Caenorhabditis elegans: one gene and its partner. The protein of the gene in region 2 purifies or fractionates together with the protein of the main gene of each other region. This does not show direct contact. Each region holds a gene or a part of one and is shown on either strand. Other genes may lie near its edges.

The links.
Region 1: the proteins of rpn-1 (region 2) and nduf-9 fractionate together in Caenorhabditis elegans (co-fractionation; one large-scale study listed by BioGRID). This does not show direct contact.

Annotation. Positions count from the first base shown.
Region 1 is NC_003281.10:3,241,553-3,250,285, reverse strand, and holds nduf-9 (NADH dehydrogenase [ubiquinone] 1 alpha subcomplex subunit 9, mitochondrial), read left to right. Parts: upstream 1-1,710; 5' UTR 1,711-1,712; coding exon 1,713-1,873; intron 1,874-2,002; coding exon 2,003-2,213; intron 2,214-2,502; coding exon 2,503-2,558; intron 2,559-3,123; coding exon 3,124-3,466; intron 3,467-6,427; coding exon 6,428-6,582; intron 6,583-7,187; coding exon 7,188-7,305; intron 7,306-8,170; coding exon 8,171-8,422; 3' UTR 8,423-8,569; downstream 8,570-8,733. Other genes in the region: Y53G8AL.4 (Apple domain-containing protein), read left to right, coding at 442-515, 734-919.
Region 2 is NC_003282.8:6,903,873-6,911,794, reverse strand, and holds rpn-1 (26S proteasome non-ATPase regulatory subunit 2), read left to right. Parts: upstream 1-1,881; 5' UTR 1,882-1,890; coding exon 1,891-1,989; intron 1,990-2,050; coding exon 2,051-2,775; intron 2,776-2,822; coding exon 2,823-3,762; intron 3,763-3,837; coding exon 3,838-4,677; intron 4,678-4,723; coding exon 4,724-4,834; intron 4,835-4,879; coding exon 4,880-5,021; intron 5,022-5,070; coding exon 5,071-5,159; 3' UTR 5,160-5,375; downstream 5,376-7,922. Other genes in the region: ribo-1 (Dolichyl-diphosphooligosaccharide--protein glycosyltransferase subunit 1), read right to left, coding at 1-884, 948-1,112; T22D1.17 (Col_cuticle_N domain-containing protein), read right to left, coding at 5,416-5,535, 5,625-5,798; T22D1.5 (EF-hand domain-containing protein), read right to left, coding at 6,396-6,553, 6,606-7,105, 7,154-7,269, 7,319-7,523, 7,570-7,715, 7,767-7,817.

The DNA of each region.
Region 1 (8,733 bases), on a different chromosome or scaffold from region 2:
TTTTCACAAAAAGTGAAATTTTTCCGTGAAGAATCTATTTTTTTCAGTTTTAGTATGAAAAATTTGAAAAATTTCGTTGCTTTTCAATAAAAAACTAATTTTCAGACGTGGCCTAGAAAAATAACCGGAAAAGTTAGGCCACGCAGCATTTTTCTAGAAAATTGCAAATTTTTCGAGAAACGCGTTATGTCTTCACTTTTAATTTTGAAAAACGTGCTTAATTTGCTTTTTAATCAAATTTTTTCAAATTTTAAGACGTGGCCAAGAAAAACCAGCTGAAAAAATAGGCCACGAAATTTTTCTTCGAAAAGCTCCATTTTTCCGCGATTTCGCCGCTGGAAATTAACTTTCGGCCAACGTTTCTGTGAAAATTATTTTTTAAAACTCTAAATATCTGCCAAAAAACCACTGTGGCCTAAACAATTCCATTGATTTTTCCAGTATTCTTCTTACTTATCGTCACGTTTGCCGGATTTTCATTTTCCCGCCCCGACCACCATTCGAGGAACTGCAAAGTAAGTGCGCTCTAGCGAACAACGAAGCTGCAAACGCGCTCCATTGAGAATTTTGCTTAAATGGTGGAAATCTCGGGGGTTTCTGGAGATATATCGATTTTTATTCGATATTTCGCTGAAAAAAATTGAAAAATTTGAGAAAAATCATTCAAAACCCTAGTTTTTCGCCGATTTTTTCCGCATTTTTTCAAGAATTCGGAATATTTTTTGATTTCCAGGCTTACCGACGACCGGCTCTAAACGAAGTGCTCACGAGAATATGCCTACTTTGCCATGAAATGTTTTCAGTCGACCAGCCGAATCTAGCCGCCGAGTGCAGCTCGAATTGCTTCAGGAATCCGGCGTTTAACAAGTGTCTCAACTTTTTTAGGCCGAAATTTTCTCCTTTTCTGGGTTCCACGTGATAAATAAATTGGTTTTAATCGTTAAATTTGAATTTTAATTGACTAAAATTGGTTAAATCGAGAAAAAAAAAGAAAAGAACCACAGTGCGGAGTCGAACCCCGGTGTGTTGCGTGAAAGGCAAAAGAGTTACCAGCAAAGCCACAAAGCAATGTGAACGTAATTTTGAGAGGCGTATACATTGTAGCCATAAATGCTTATTATCTCGATAGCGTATAATATTAATAATTGAGAATTTTGATGTCATTTTCAGTTTAATCTACCAGTATTCTTCTGTAATTTCGCACATTTTGAAGAAATCCCTTGAAAACTTCGCATTTCTATTTAATTCAAAGATTTTAATAATTTTTCTTGAATGTAAAACAAGAAAAGTAATATTTCATTAATTTTTCAACAATTTAGATTGAAAACTCTCTTTAAAACCGCCTTTCTCACCAATTTTTGCTAATTTCAAAGCTTCTCATTCCTCCTTGGAGTACGGTCATCAATCCCCGCCCTTCCAAGTGCGCATTCGAGTCCGCAAACGTCAAACCCGACGCCATATTGCGTACAGGCCAAATTATTTATTTCGGCACCGCGTACTTCATTTTCAGCCATTTTTAGCGGTTTTTCCAGATTTTTTCGCTATTTTCGGTGCTTTTTTGATAAAAAATCGATTTTTTCGACCGGAAAAGCTATTTTTAGCTGGAAAAAATCCCGAAAAAACGCAGAAAACCCATTTAATTCTTAAAAAGTCTTTAAAAATCTTTAAAAATCTTTAAACAATTGCAAATCTCGATTTTCCTAATTTCAGCCATGCTATCAGTGTTGGGTAGATCCGGCTTGGGCGCCCGGCAGGCGGTTTCGGTCGTTGGAAGTCAGAATTTCAGCAGCGCGGTCACCTCCGCCGAAAATGCTCATCCGGAGCCACGTGTCAGCTCTCAGAGTGCTCAATTCAGAAAGGGAGCCGGTGGAAGGTACAGGAAAAGCCTAAGAATGATTTGAAACTGGAAAATGTGGAAAAAATCTAGGAAAAATTGAAAAAACATTGAAAAAAAATCAATTTTTTCCCAAAAAAAATCGTTAAAAATTCCAAATTTTTGCAGAGCCTCCTTCTCCGGCAATGTGGTGACCGTATTCGGTGCGTCAGGCTTCTTGGGACTTCCAGTTGTCAATAAATTCGCGAAAAATGGCTCACAAATCATTATTCCGTATCGCCAGGATCCGTATTACATGAGAGAGCACAAAGTGCTCGGCGAGCTCGGACAAGTCCTCTATTTTCCATTTGAGCTGATGGATGAGGAGAGCATTCGAAAGGTATTAAAATTCGTGGAAATTGAGAGAAAAATCGAGTTTTCTAGGTGAAAATCGAGAAAAATTGGATTTTTCTCTAGAAAATCCAGAAAAAATAGAGTTTTCTCAGTGAAAATCGAGAAAAAATGGGTTTTTCTTTAGAAAATTCAGAAAAAATAGAGTTTTCTCAGTGAAAATCGAGAAAAATTAGGTTTTTTCTCTAGAAAATTCCGAAAAAAAAAGAGTTTTCTAGGTGAAAATCGAGAAAAATTGGATTTTTCTCTAGAAAATCCAGAAAAAATCAATTTTTCAGGCTGTAAAGTACTCGAACGTCGTCATCAACTTGATCGGAACTCGTGTGCCGACTGGGTGAGGAAATTGCAGATTTTTGAGCGGAAAAATTCACAAAATATGCCGGAAATTCAAAAAATTCAAATTTCGCGCCGTTTTTGACCAAATAAATCACTCTTTTTCGCTGAAAATTCGAAAAAATGCCTGAAAAACCTTCAAAATGTGGAATTTAACCCTTTTTTCCTACTGAAAATTCAAAAAATAAATTTTTTTACACCAAATTATCATTCAAAATTCAAAAAAAAAGCTCTTTTTTTCCAGTTTTTTCATTGAAAAACTCAAAATTCCTCACTTTTTCCAACTGAAAATCAATTAAAAATTGAAAAATCCCCTTAAATTTTGAATTTGGCTCCACTTTTTGGCTAAAAATTTGAAAAATGTCCGAAAAATCTTCAAAATTTTGAGTTTCGCGCCGTTTTTTTCACTGAAAATTCAAAAAATATTTTTAAAAAATTCAAAAAAAACTAAATTGCTCAATTTTTCTCCAAAATTTTCGAGAAAACTGCCATTTTCTATTGAAAAATTCAAATTTCCCCACTTTTTCCTTCTAAAAATCCCAATTTTAAGCCATTTTTCCTTGCAGAAAGTACAATTACTATGACGTCAACGACACGGGAGCCCGCCGTTTGGCTCGAATTTGCAAAGAAATGGGTGTGGAGAAATTTGTGCATTTGTCGGCTCTCGGAGCAACTACACAACCACAAAAGGGACATTTTGTCGCAAAATCGCAATTTCTTCATTCAAAAGGACTCGGAGAAGTTGCTGTACGTGAAGAATTCCCAGAAGCAACAATTATTCGCCCATCTGTGATCTACGGTGAATTGGATGGATTTATTCAATATTATGTGTCAAGATGGCGAAAAACTCCATTGGATTATGTGTATTTGTACAAGAAGGGAGAAGAAACGTATAAAATGCCGATTTGGGTACGGAATTGGCCGATAATTCATGAAAAATGACCTAAAATACGTGAAAATTGGCCGAAAATGACTGAAAATGGCTGAAATTTGGCACAAAATTAAATATTTTAACGAAAAACTCACAAAAACCGAGATTTTTTGAAAATTTACGATTTTCACATTAAAAATTGTCAAAAAAATTTTATTTTCCGTTAATATTGATTAAAATTATAGAAAAATCCATTTTCAACCGAATTTTGAACGAAATTAATCAAAATTTCATAAAATACATTTTAAAAAAAGCTCAAAATACGTGAAATTCGCCAAAAATGCTGAACAATTACTTAAAATTCAAAAAAATTGAAGTAATTTGACCAAAAAACTGAATTTTAGTCAATAAAAATTCAAAAATGGCTGAAAATTGTTTGAATATTGAAAATTGGGCGAAAATTCATGAAAAATGACCTAAAATACGTGAAAATCGGCCAAAAATGACGAAAAAAAATTTTTTTTTAAAGTAGAAAATTTCATGAAAATCGAGAAAAATGGTGTAATTTGACCTAATAACTGAATTTTAAAAATAAAAAGTCGAAAATCCGTGAAAATCGGTCTAAATCTACGAAATTTCATGAAAATTCGCTTGAAATTGAGAAAAATGACTCAAAATTCATTACAATAAATCCAAATGAACTGAAAAATGTCAAAATTCATAAAAATTGGCCTAATACAAATAAAATGAGTCCAAATATTTATGAAAAGTCTCGAAATTTCATATAAAGTTGCTCAAAATACGTGAAATTCGCTAAAAATTGCTGGAATTTATTTAATTTGCTTAAAAATTAGAAAAAAATTTCAAAATTCAAGGAAATTGGCATAAGTCCGTCTAAAAATTGAATTTTAAATTTAAAAAGTCAAAAATTCCAACAAATCGGCCAAAAATTACTGAAAATTGTTCAAAATATGACCAATTTTTGTTTGAAAATCGGAAAAATTACTCAAAATTCGAGAAACGCTGTAATTTGCGAAATTTTATGAAAAAAAAGCCTTAAAACCATTTAAATTGGCCAAAAATGACTGAAAATGGCTGAAATTTGGCACAAAATTGAAAATTTTCGGAATTTCACCCAAAATTTCATAAAATTTGATAAAACTAGTCGAAAATTGGTAGAATTTCGGCAAAAATCGTATTTTCACACAGAAAATTGTCAAAAAATTGCTAAAAATGACAAATTTTGACTGAAAAACTTGAATTTTTGCTTAAATTTCATCAAAATGTAAAAATCGGTAAAATTCCAGAAAAATTCACCGAAATTTGCAAATTTTGGCTTAAAATTGTCCATTTTTGCCGAAAAAAAATTGATGGTAGGCGGCGGTAGGCATAAAGTAGGCACAATTTTTTTTTTGCGAAAAAATGCAAAAAATGTCCAAATTTCGCATATTTTGACTCAAAACCTCGGCCAAAAATGGTGTAATTTGACCTAATAACTGAATTTTAAAAATAAAAAGTCGAAAATCCGTGAAAATCGGTCTAAATCTACGAAATTTCATGAAAATTCGCTTGAAATTGAAAAAAATGACTCAAAATTCATTACAATAAATCCAAATGAACTGAAAAATGTCAAAATTCATAAAAATTGGCTTTTAATACAATTAAAATGAGTCCAAATATTTATGAAAAGTCTCGAAATTTCATATAAAGTTGCTCAAAATATGTGAAATTCGCTAAAAATTGATGGAATTTATTTAATTTGCTTAAAAATTAGAGAAAAAAAATTTCAAAATTCAAGGAAATGAGGCTTAAAGTTACCTATAAACGCTGGAATTTGCGAAATTTTATGAAAAAAAGCTTTAAAACCATTTAAATTGTCCAAAAATGACTGAAAATGGCTGAAATTTGGCACAAAACTGAAAATTTTCGGAATTTCACCCAAAATTTGATAAAACTAGTCGAAAATTGGTAGAATTTTGGCAAAAATCGTTTTCTCCTCAAAAATGTAACAAAATTTTCGATTTTCACACAGAAAATTGTCAAAAAATTGCTAAAAATGACAAATTTTGACTGAAAATCTCGAATTTTTGCTTAAATTCCATCAAAAATGATGATTTTTTCAGAAAAATTCACCGAAATTTGCAAATTTTGGCTTAAAATTGTCCATTTCTGCCGAAAAAAAATTGATGGTAGGCATAAGTAGGCACCATTTTATTGCGAAAAATGACCAAATTTTGGATATTTTGACTCAAAACCTTGAATTTTTGCCAAAATTCAATTCATTTTTCGCACAATTTCAGTAAAAATAACTCAAAATTTACCATTTTTTGCCGAATTTTCAACGAAATTGATCAAAATTTCGAGAAAATCGGCGAAAAATCACTAAAAAAATCTCGATTTTCTTGCAGGTTGCTTTTTTAGTTTTTAGTTTTAGTTTAAAAAAGAAAAATCGGCCAAAAATGAGTGAAAATTGTTCAAAATAGGCCCAATTTGTTTGAAAATTCAAAAAATTACTCGAAATACATACAATTCGGCCTAAAACTGCCTATAAACGGTGGAATTTGCGAAAATAAGCGAAATAAAAAAAAAAGCTTTAAAAACGTTTAAATTGGCCAAAAATGACAAAAAATGGCTGAAATTTGGTCCAAAATTGAAAATTTTGAAGAAAATTGACGATTTTTGACGAAAAACATACAAAAAATCGTTTAAAAATGTTATCAATTCCAATTTTCGGTAATTTCCCATATTCACTTGAAAAAAATTGTTGAAACATTGCTAAAAATGGCAAGTATATATATTGAATTTTTTGGTTAAATTCCATTAAAAAACGGTATTTTCGCGCGAAATTTCATTAAAAGGAGTGAAAATCCGTAAAATTTCAAAAAAAATTCACAGAAATTTGCAAATTTTGGCTCAAAATTTACCATTTTTTGCCGAGTTTTCAACGAAATTGATCAAAATTTCGAGAAAATTGGCGAAAAATTCCGATTTTCTTGCAGGTTGGAGACGTTGCCGCCGGAATTCAAAGTGCTGTAAATGATCCAACAGCAAAAGGACATACTTATGAATTTGTTGGACCACACTGCTATCAATTGTCTGAATTGATTGATTTCATGTACAAAAAAGCGCATTGTTTGTCTGATTTTGGATTCAGGTACCCGGTTTTTCGATTTTCCCGCCGAAAATTGGCCTAAAATGAAGGAAAATTGCTAATTTTTGGGCAAAAAAATCATGAAAATTGATAATTTTTAACGAGAAATTCATGAAAATTGGACTTAAAAATCGTGAAAACTGGGTCTCGCCACGAAAACTTTATTTTTTTCAAATTTAAAGGCACATGGGTTGTGCATCAATCAGGAAATTTTGAAAATTCGAATTCTCCTCAAAATTCTAGGCTTGTAGCTTTAATCGGGTCTCGCAACGAAAATTTCACGAGTACAGTAACCCGCGAGATATTATTCCGTGGCGAGACCTTAAAAAATCAAAAAAATCAATATTTTCACTGAAAATTGATGATTTTTAACGTGAACTTTATGAAAATTGGCTAAAAAATATAAATTTAGACGTAAAAATCGTGAAAACTACATTTTTTTTTGGGTCTCGCCACGAAAAAGTTGAAAAAAAAAAATTTCTTGAGTACAGTAACCCGCGAGGTATTGTTTCGTGGCGGCGGGACCCAGGCGTGAAATTTCGAGAAAAATCGCGAATTTTTCAATTATTTTCGTGGCGGGACCCGAGAAAAAGCTCAAATTTTTGCAGATACAAGCGTCACGGAATGCCGGATCCATATTTCATGGCTCTCACAATGGCCACCGAACTCTATGGTAAAGTGTTCAAGTGTAAAGTTCCACTCAACAGAGAATGGATGGAGTTTGTGGTAGGTTTTAGGGCTTAAAATGAGCAAAAACGCCTCAAATTTTAGATTTTTTTAATTAAAAATCGGTTTTCCGCCAAAAATCGGGCAATTTTTACGGAAAAATCCATTTTTTAAGTGAAAAACACTTAAAAAAAACTGATTTTTGAGTCAAAAAATTGGAAATTTCGGAAAGCCTACCTACGCCTGCCTTGTGCCTACCGTTGAATTGTTAAATCAGGTAGGCGTAGGCACAATTTTGAGGAATTTTTTTTGTAGAAGTGGCGGAAACAACCCGATTTTCATCAAAAAAATTCGAAAAAAATCGAAAATTTTTTCAAAATTATCGATTTTTAGTCGAAAAATGGATTTTATTGATTTTTTTTTTTGAAAAAAAAATTTAGCGAATAAAATCGATAATTTACGGAAATTATCGATTTTTTGTTGATTTTCAAAAAATCGATAAATTCCGATTTTCCGACAAAAATTCAAAATTTTCTGAAAATTATCGATTTTTTTTGCTATTTTTGTAATTTTCAGATAAAAATCGGAATTTTTTTAAAAGAAAAATCGAATATAAAATCTTAAAAAAATAAAAAAAATTTAATATTTTTAAAAATTACCGATTTTTTGTCGGAAAAGTGATTTTATCGATTTTTTGTTGAAAAATTTCCGCGGAATTTTTTTTGAAACAAAGATTTCTGAAAATTATTGATTTTTTTTTCTATTTTTCGCATTTTTCAATTGAAAATCGGAATTGTTGAAAAAAAATCGCATAGAAAAATTTCCACCGATAATTTTTGAAAATTATCGATTTTTGATTAAAAAATTCGCGAAAAAATCGATAATTTACGGAAATTATTGATTTTTTCTAATTTTGCATTTTCAGGAAGTACAATCGGACATTTTGACGGGCGAAAGAACTCTCGCCGACCTCGGAGTCCGCCGATTGACTGAATTCGAATTGGCTGGTGGACAACAAGCATTTTATCGATCATTTAATCGATATTTCGAAGAACAATATGGAGAACTTCCGGCTCCATCACTTCCACTTCGTTCACCACCACTTACCAAAAAGAACACTGGCCGAGGAGCAACTGGAATCAAGTCGGAAACGAGCAAAAATGTCGCTTTTAATTAAGATTTTTTTTAATCGATTGTTTTTTCGATTTCTGTGTTGTCTTTGGTAGTTTAAATAGAGCGATTTTAATTTTTTTTTGGTTCTAAATTTTTTTTCTAGAAAAAACTGAATTTTGTATTTATACGCGTAAATGAATCGAGAATTTTGATGGGAAAAATTGGTAGATTTGCAAAAATTCTGAAAAAAAATTATAAGAATCCTGAGAAATTATGAAAAATAAGAAAAAAGAGCACAAAAAATCAGTAAAATCAAATTTCCTTTAAAAAATCGATAATTTTCAAAAATTATCGATTTTTGTCCGAAAATGAACG
Region 2 (7,922 bases):
TTCTCTACAACAATATCATTGAACACATGATCGAACAACTTTGTTTTGAGAGCATACTGATTTCCTTTGCTGTACAAATACTCTTCCGATGGCAAATTGTATCCGATGACATACGACGTCTTCCATCCTCCAAAGAGTGGGAATCGTGGACGAATCTCAACGTCAACGCTGTCAGCACGGATTCGTACAGCGGATGTAGAAATGTTTCCGATCTCATCACGATAATAGATATCTTTAGCTTGAGCAGGAAGAACTGTGGTAAACTGTTGGAGTGCTGGTTGGCGACGTCCACGACGGTCCATTTGGTAATCGATTCTTGAGAATGGACCATCAAGCTCAGCTCCCTTGTGAACCAATTCAATGTACTCCTCCACAGCGATGTTTCCCCAGTGAGAAACCTCGATGAATCTTTCCACGATGGTGGCAATAACGAATGGCGAGTTATTTTCATAATGAACTTTGACTGGTTTCGTCTCAAAAGCTGGGATATTAACATATGGTCCGTAGATGACACGTTCCGTTTCTTGTTTCGATGGAGAAACTGTGGTTGCGGATAGAAGCTTGCCTCCTTGAGTGGTTCTAATAGTTGTTTTTTGGGTCACAGTTTCGTACAGGGAAGGAACGTATGCAGATGTGTGAAGAACAACAAATTGACTGTCAGATTGCTGAATCTTGGATGGGAGTGGCTCAAGTACTTGTGTGATACGAAGATTGATTCTTATGGTAACTTTGGCTCCCTTGGCAACAGGAGTTCGGAGGTCTACTTCGTAAACTGCAAGATCCTTTTCGGCTGGTTTTTCAGAAATTTTCAATTTTCCTTTGCTTCCATCGATTCCAGCAGAAATGAAAGAAAGAGTAGCAGATTCTTCTTTAGACAAAGCAATCTGAAAAATAAAGTTGAAATATAGGAAATATAGTGAATTTTCAGGAAAAATATATCTACATACCAAAACTTTCGATTGAGGTCCATTTCCAACGTTCTCAAATGAATACAATGTCGAAACCTTGACAATTTGTGACGTGGCATCGATGGTTCGGTCAACATTAGCGGCTTTCCAAGCGTCTTCAGCGAAAACCGCCCCCAGGAGAGCGATGGCAAATAGCAATCGCATCTGGAAAAATTAGATATACAATCAAAAATGCAGAAAACCCAAAAATGTCATATTAAAACGTTTCAAGAATGAAATTCGACTGATCGAGCAAGACGACATCTATTTGGAATTTAATTAATCAGCTCGTGTTAAAAAATTATCTATTATTACAATCTCAGCACAGAGTAACTTTATTTTGTCACAAAATCATTTAGCAGCAAAAATTCGCATGTACAGACTAGAAAAATGATATTTTTGTTTGGTGAAATCAGCAAAATTCATTATAAGAGCAAATTTCAAGTGTATTATATTGATTTGATGCATAAATTCTGCGAAAATCTATCTTTAAATTACAATAATTTCAGCAAAAAAAAGAGAAAGACGTGGTAAACTCGTCCACGTATTTTGAATCGGAGCCATTCGTGGCGAGACCCACCAGCCGGCATGATGACTGCGCCTTTAAACAAAGTCTGTTCAAATTATCATTTTTTCCGCGAACCGGCGCGGATTTTCAGATTTTCTAATCCAATTGTCATCGTTTTGTTGTTTTTTTATTCTTTTATTCGGATTAGATGTATTTCACTCTTAGTTTCTATTCCTTTTTTCCAAACTCTGACTCTCAAAATAGTTATTTTTCGATGTTTTCATAAAGTTGAAAAATATTCACGTTTTCGAGGGAATTAGTATTTGAATACGCTGTTATAGTTTCTTCGTGACTTAACTGTTTTGTTAATTCTATAAAATTCATTTCGAAATCTCAGCTTCTCTTTCGAATACATATATTTTGAAGGATCGAAAAATGGTGGCGACTACTCAACAGACACCAAAAGAGGCGGACAAAAAGAAAGCCGACGATAAAAAAGTTCCCGAGAAAGCTGAGCCAAAAAAAGAAGAGATGGTTAGTTTAAAGAATAACTATTGTTTAAGCCGTAATGAGACTTATAGCTTATTTATTTCAGAGCGAAGAGGATCAAAAACTCGAGGAGGATCTCAATCTTCTTGTTCAGCGTTTATCTGAACCGGACACAACACTTTACAAGCCATCACTGGAGACTATGCGGACATTGATTCGTGCTTCAACCACATCGATGACCTCTGTTCCAAAACCTCTCAAGTTTATGCGTCCGCATTACAATAAAATGAAGGAGATTTTCACATCGATCGTGGCGCCTGACGTTAAGAAACTTTGCGCAGATATCATTTCAGTGCTCGCAATGACATCAGATGAGCGAACCGACACGATCAACTATCGTATTCTTGGATCACACGAGCCGATCGGGGATTGGGGACATGAATACGTTCGTCATTTGGCGATGGAAATGTCAGAGGAGTGGAAGAAGGAAGGCACTTCGGATGCGAGAAAAGCTGAACTCCTTAAGTTGACTCAGGATATTGTCAGCCATCACATGAAACACAACGCAGAAGTTGAAGCGTGCGATTTGCTCATCGAAATTGAGCGTATTGATTTGCTGATCTCTTATGTCCAAGAAGTTGATCACCAACGTGTGTGCCTTTATCTTCTTTCATGTGCCCCATTGACTCCAGACCCGGATAACATTATTCTTATTCGCACTGCTCTCCAACTCTATTTGAAATTCAACCGGTATCTTGAAGCTGTTAGATGTGCTATCATGGTCAACGATATTCCACAGGTTCATCAAATATTTGCGAAGGCATCTGACCCGTAAGTTAAATATAACGTCTCTTACTTTCCTAAAGAAAAGTTTTCAGATTGCTTCGAAAGCAAATGGCTATCTTGCTCGGTCGCCATCAGATTTTCCTTGACTACGAGGGATCTGCAGATTCGGATGCTCTTGCCGAACTGAATTCCAATGCTCATCTCTATGAATACTTCCACTCCTTGGCTCGTGAGCTCGACATTATGGAGCCTAAAACTCCAGAAGGAATTTACAAATCTCATTTGGAACATTCCCGGCCATTCGGAAACTCTGCTCAGCCAGACTCTACTCGCATGAATCTCGCCGCTGCGTTGGTGAATGGATTCGTGAACTGTGGATTCGGAGTTGATAAAATGATGGCTGAAACAGAGGAAGCCTCCAGATGGTTCTACAAGAACAAGGAATATGGAATGCTTACTGCAGCCGCCTCACAGGGTCTTATCTGGAGATGGGATATCGATACCGGCCTGGCACAATGCGACAGATTCTTGTATATCAATGACGATTATATCAAGGCTGGAACCCTTTTGGCTATTGGTATTATTTCCTCTGGAATTCAAGATGCTTGTGACCCTGCTTCCGCACTTCTCCTTGATCATGTTCAATCTGATCGGTCAATTATGAGAGTAGGATCAATTCTTGGACTTGGACTTGCCTACGCTAATTCCAAAAGAGAAACCGTTACAAAGAATGAGGAACGCGGTGTTATTTTCGAGCTCAAGAAAGTTCTTTCTGATCAAAAGCCATCGGCTATTCCTGAAGTTAAAGGACTTGCTGGACTTTCTCTTGGCCTCATTCTTGTTGGAACTGCTGATGCGGAAGCTGCGATGGAGATGCTTCAAGCTCTAATGGATAAAAGCGAAACTGAGCTCACAGATCCAAATATGCGTTTCCTTGCATTGGGAATTGCATTGATCTTCTTGCAAACTCAGGACAAGAGTGATGTGTTTGTCGAAAGTCTCCGTTCACTTCCTGATCCATTTGGAGCGATGGTAAGTATTATTTGTTCTAGATCACCTCGAGTTTTGGCTATTCCCTTGTTCATATCATAATGAATACAATTTCAGGTTTCTACGCTCGTTGAAGTTTGTGCATACGCAGGAACTGGAAATGTTTTGAAAATCCAGAAATTGCTCCATCTCTGCTCTGAACACTACGAGACGCCAGCAGCTGAGAAGAAAACTGCCGCTTCTCGTGGACCGCGTGGACCAGCCCCAGCTGCTGCTACACCTGCTCGTCCTGCTGCGCAACCTGGAAATGTCAACGTCGCTGGCACTCCAGCCCCAACTGGAACACCCGCCGTTGCCCCAGCTGCTCCGAGACGCGACCTTCCAGGAGCCGCAAGTGCTGCTACACCAGGAGCTCCAGAGACTGCTGCCGCCGACGCTACTCCAGCACCACCTGCCAAGCCAGACTTGTCATCGCAACAGGCGGTTGCTGTACTCGGAATTGGTCTGATTGCTATGGGAGATGACATCGGATCTCAGATGGCTCTTCGCATGTTCGGACATCTCATCAGATATGGAGAACCAGTTATCCGTCGTGCTGTTCCCTTGGCGTTGTCACTTCTCTCCGTCTCAAATCCTCAATTGAACATTTTGGAAACTCTGTCCAAGTTCTCTCACGATTCTGACGCTGATACCGCTCACAATGCTATTTTCGCGATGGGACTTGTTGGAGCAGGAACAAACAATGCTCGTCTTGTTGCTATGCTCCGAAACCTGGCTTCTTATCACTACAAGGATCAAGTTTCTCTAATGCTGGTCAGAATTGCACAAGGACTTACTCATCTCGGAAAAGGAACAATGACGTTGAACCCATGGCATTCTGATAGGCAATTATTGTCTCCAAGTGCTTTGGCTTCTCTCCTTTCAATTTGCTTCTCTTTCCTCGACGCCAATAACACGGTTAGTGCAAGATTGATATTTCTACCATAATTTATTTCAAATTTAGATTCTCAACAACCGTCAGCATTACTTGCTCTACACGTTGGTGCTCGCAATGCAACCAAGAATGCTTACCACACTGGTAGAAGACGAAATGAAGCCTGGAAGCTTGAAACAGGTATAATTTTTTTAAAAGTTTCAACTCTCCAATGTGATTTTACAGTTGAACGTTTCTGTTCGTGTTGGTCAAGCCGTTGACGTTGTTGCTCAAGCCGGAAAGCCAAAGACAATCACTGGATTCCAAACTCATACTACGCCAGTCTTGCTTGCCCATGGTGAACGTGCCGAGTTGGCGAACGATGAATGTATGCCATCCTAACATTTGATAATTAATTTTTAACTAAAATATTTCAGATCTCTCTGTGACTCCACATCTTGAAGGATTGGTTATTTTGAAGAAGAATCCAGATTATCAGCCGGTTGTTGTATCAACTAAGAAGTAACCAACAAATTTATGGATCTAATTTATTTTTCTCCCCCTTTTCTCCCATCTAAATTATCCGTTTTGACCCGTTTTATTGTGCACAATCCGATTGCATTCGCTCTCTGCCCGATTTCCCGTTTTTCTGTCAATTTTCCCTCTCCCTCATCATTTTTTCTTTGAAAAAAACGTGTACACTTTAAATTTGAGTGGGACGGTATTCGAGTAAATTATTACTTTCAATCTTATCATCCTGGGTTTTATATATGTATTAATATTTATTGATCACAGGAATTTGAAGATCTTCTAGGTATCCTTATCAAAGTATCGAATATATCAGAAAATCCGTCAAGGTGGCGATTGTTCGACATTAGATTTTCAGCATCGTTCGCATACATCTGGAAATAAAATTTAGAATGTTCAAATGTGAGTTTGGAAATTTTAGTTTTTCAGTTTTTAGAAAAGTTTAATGAATTATTACACTCACCTCAAAAGTAGCCTTTTTATCCATAAAAACATCTTTCATTTCATCAATTTCATTAATAATATCACTTGTCAAATATATAACAACAAGTGTCATAATTGCCATAAAACATAAAATTCCAATAGCAGCAAAATCAGCGATGAAACGAAATTTGTATAAAAATTCGGATGTATTCATAGTTTCGAAAAAACTATAAAGTTTCAAAATTTGATGTATTAAATGGAAAAGTAATAGAAAGAAGAAGCAAATGACCAATACAATTAGACAAAGAATTGAAAACTACAGAAAACAGGTGATAAAAGATAAGAAAAAGTGAAGAGATTTAGAGATATTTGTAGAGACTAACCAGTTTGACGAACTATAGAAGTGAATTGTGTAAACTTTTAGACTTTTTGTGATTCAAAAAAAAACAGTTTGAACATTTGAAATCACAGTATTATTTAAAGGTGCAGTGTTTAGCAAAAAATTATCGTAACGAGACCCGGTCACCATATTTCCGGCACAAAAATCTAACAAATAATGTTATAAGCCCATTTCATAGTTTTTAACATTTCCCACCAATCTAATCGTTTTGAAAACCCATTAATTTTTTTCAAAAATATTCTTGCAGGTTCAGTAAAACGAGATGAGCAGGAACAATCTTATTGTTTACATGAATCCGCCTGACATTTTACAAGAATACTGAAATTTGTGAAAATTGCACATAAGATATGGGACCAGGCGATTAAATACAATAGGGAATGATTATCTGACATGATTAAACTTTAGGATTACTTAAACAGGATTTATTGGTTCGTTATTGATGTTGAACGACCCTGATGATGACGTGCTGGATTGAGCATAGTAATCGTCAAATTTGTGGTCGATCAAACGTTGCCAACGAGTCCGAACCATCCCAAATTCCTCATCATCTTGGCGTTCGGTGTTCGTTTCTGAAAGCAGTGTTATTAACATAAACAACCATTTTATCTTATTAAAACATACTCTCACAAATTTCCTGCTCAAGAAAGCGAAGAGCGCAGACAAAGCCATTGATCACTCTGAAGGCAAGTTGCGAGTTCTTTTTGAATGATTGCAGATTCCATTTGTCTGTGCCAAGGATGTCCCGAAATTGAGCGATAGCGTTTTCGAACGGCAGGGATTGCACATTGTTATTGACAAGAAACTTTGTGATGGCATCGTAGAACATCCGCAGGTCGTCCAATTGAAGGATTCCTGTAGATTGCACATCAAGGACGCGGAACCAATACTCGATCGATTGATTCTCGTCAGTCCCAATCATCGCAAATATGAGCCACGTCACTTCTTTCGTATCGAGATAGTTTCCCGTTGAACGACGCACTAGGTTACTCGAGAAGATTCGGTCGACGATTATTGTTGGAATACCGGTTTCGTAGCAGTAAATGGCGATGGCATTCGAATCAAATATCTCATCCCATTTGCCAATATGATTGAGCTCGACTGCGCAGAGTTGTCCGGTGTGCCTACAATTTTAATAATTAAATGACTAATCTGAGATTATAGCCGATTACTTCATGTACCAATCCTCGCATGCATAACGCACGTAGTCATTTAGAAGATCTTTAGTCTTAACTTGAATCGTTCCCGTCCACGTTCGCCCAGCAGTCCAGAGTATACGCTCAGTGACCTGAAATGTTATCGATACACAAAATTAAATTAGAAAAATAGAAAATTACAATGATCGAATACATTTCAGCTTCCTCCTTTGAACAGTCCGTTTCAGTCAGTTTCCGCTCGAAAATAGCTGACTGCAATTCTTCGCGTGTGATCACTTCTGAATACGACCGCACTCTTTCGAAAATTGATGAGTTAACAAACTCCAAAGCAGTGTGCATTGAGCACGAAGATGTACTGCTTTCATTTTCGAGTTTCGTCGCTTCTCTGTAACAAAAAATCATGTTTAAATAAATCTGATGATTCAACAAACATGTGCGAATCATCGACTCCAGTGATTGCTTGAGACGTCAGATTTCCGCTGGAGTCATCCGAGCAAGAGGACCACGACTGATCGCGAATCGGAGCTCTCATTCTCGTGAGTTTTGGTGATGACGTGGCAAGCGGGGAAAACAGATGCTGAAAATTTCCAAGAATGAAAAGTATATTCTCCTGAGCTGATAAACATACCGTCGGGAACTTCACATCAATAACAGACTTCATCTGAATCTGCTGGCTCATTTTCACGTGGGATGAGCGTATTTGAACACTGAAAAGCAAATGCTTAAAATGTTATAATTGATTTGAGACAAAAATTCTGGATAAAAAAGTGAAAAAGATGTAATA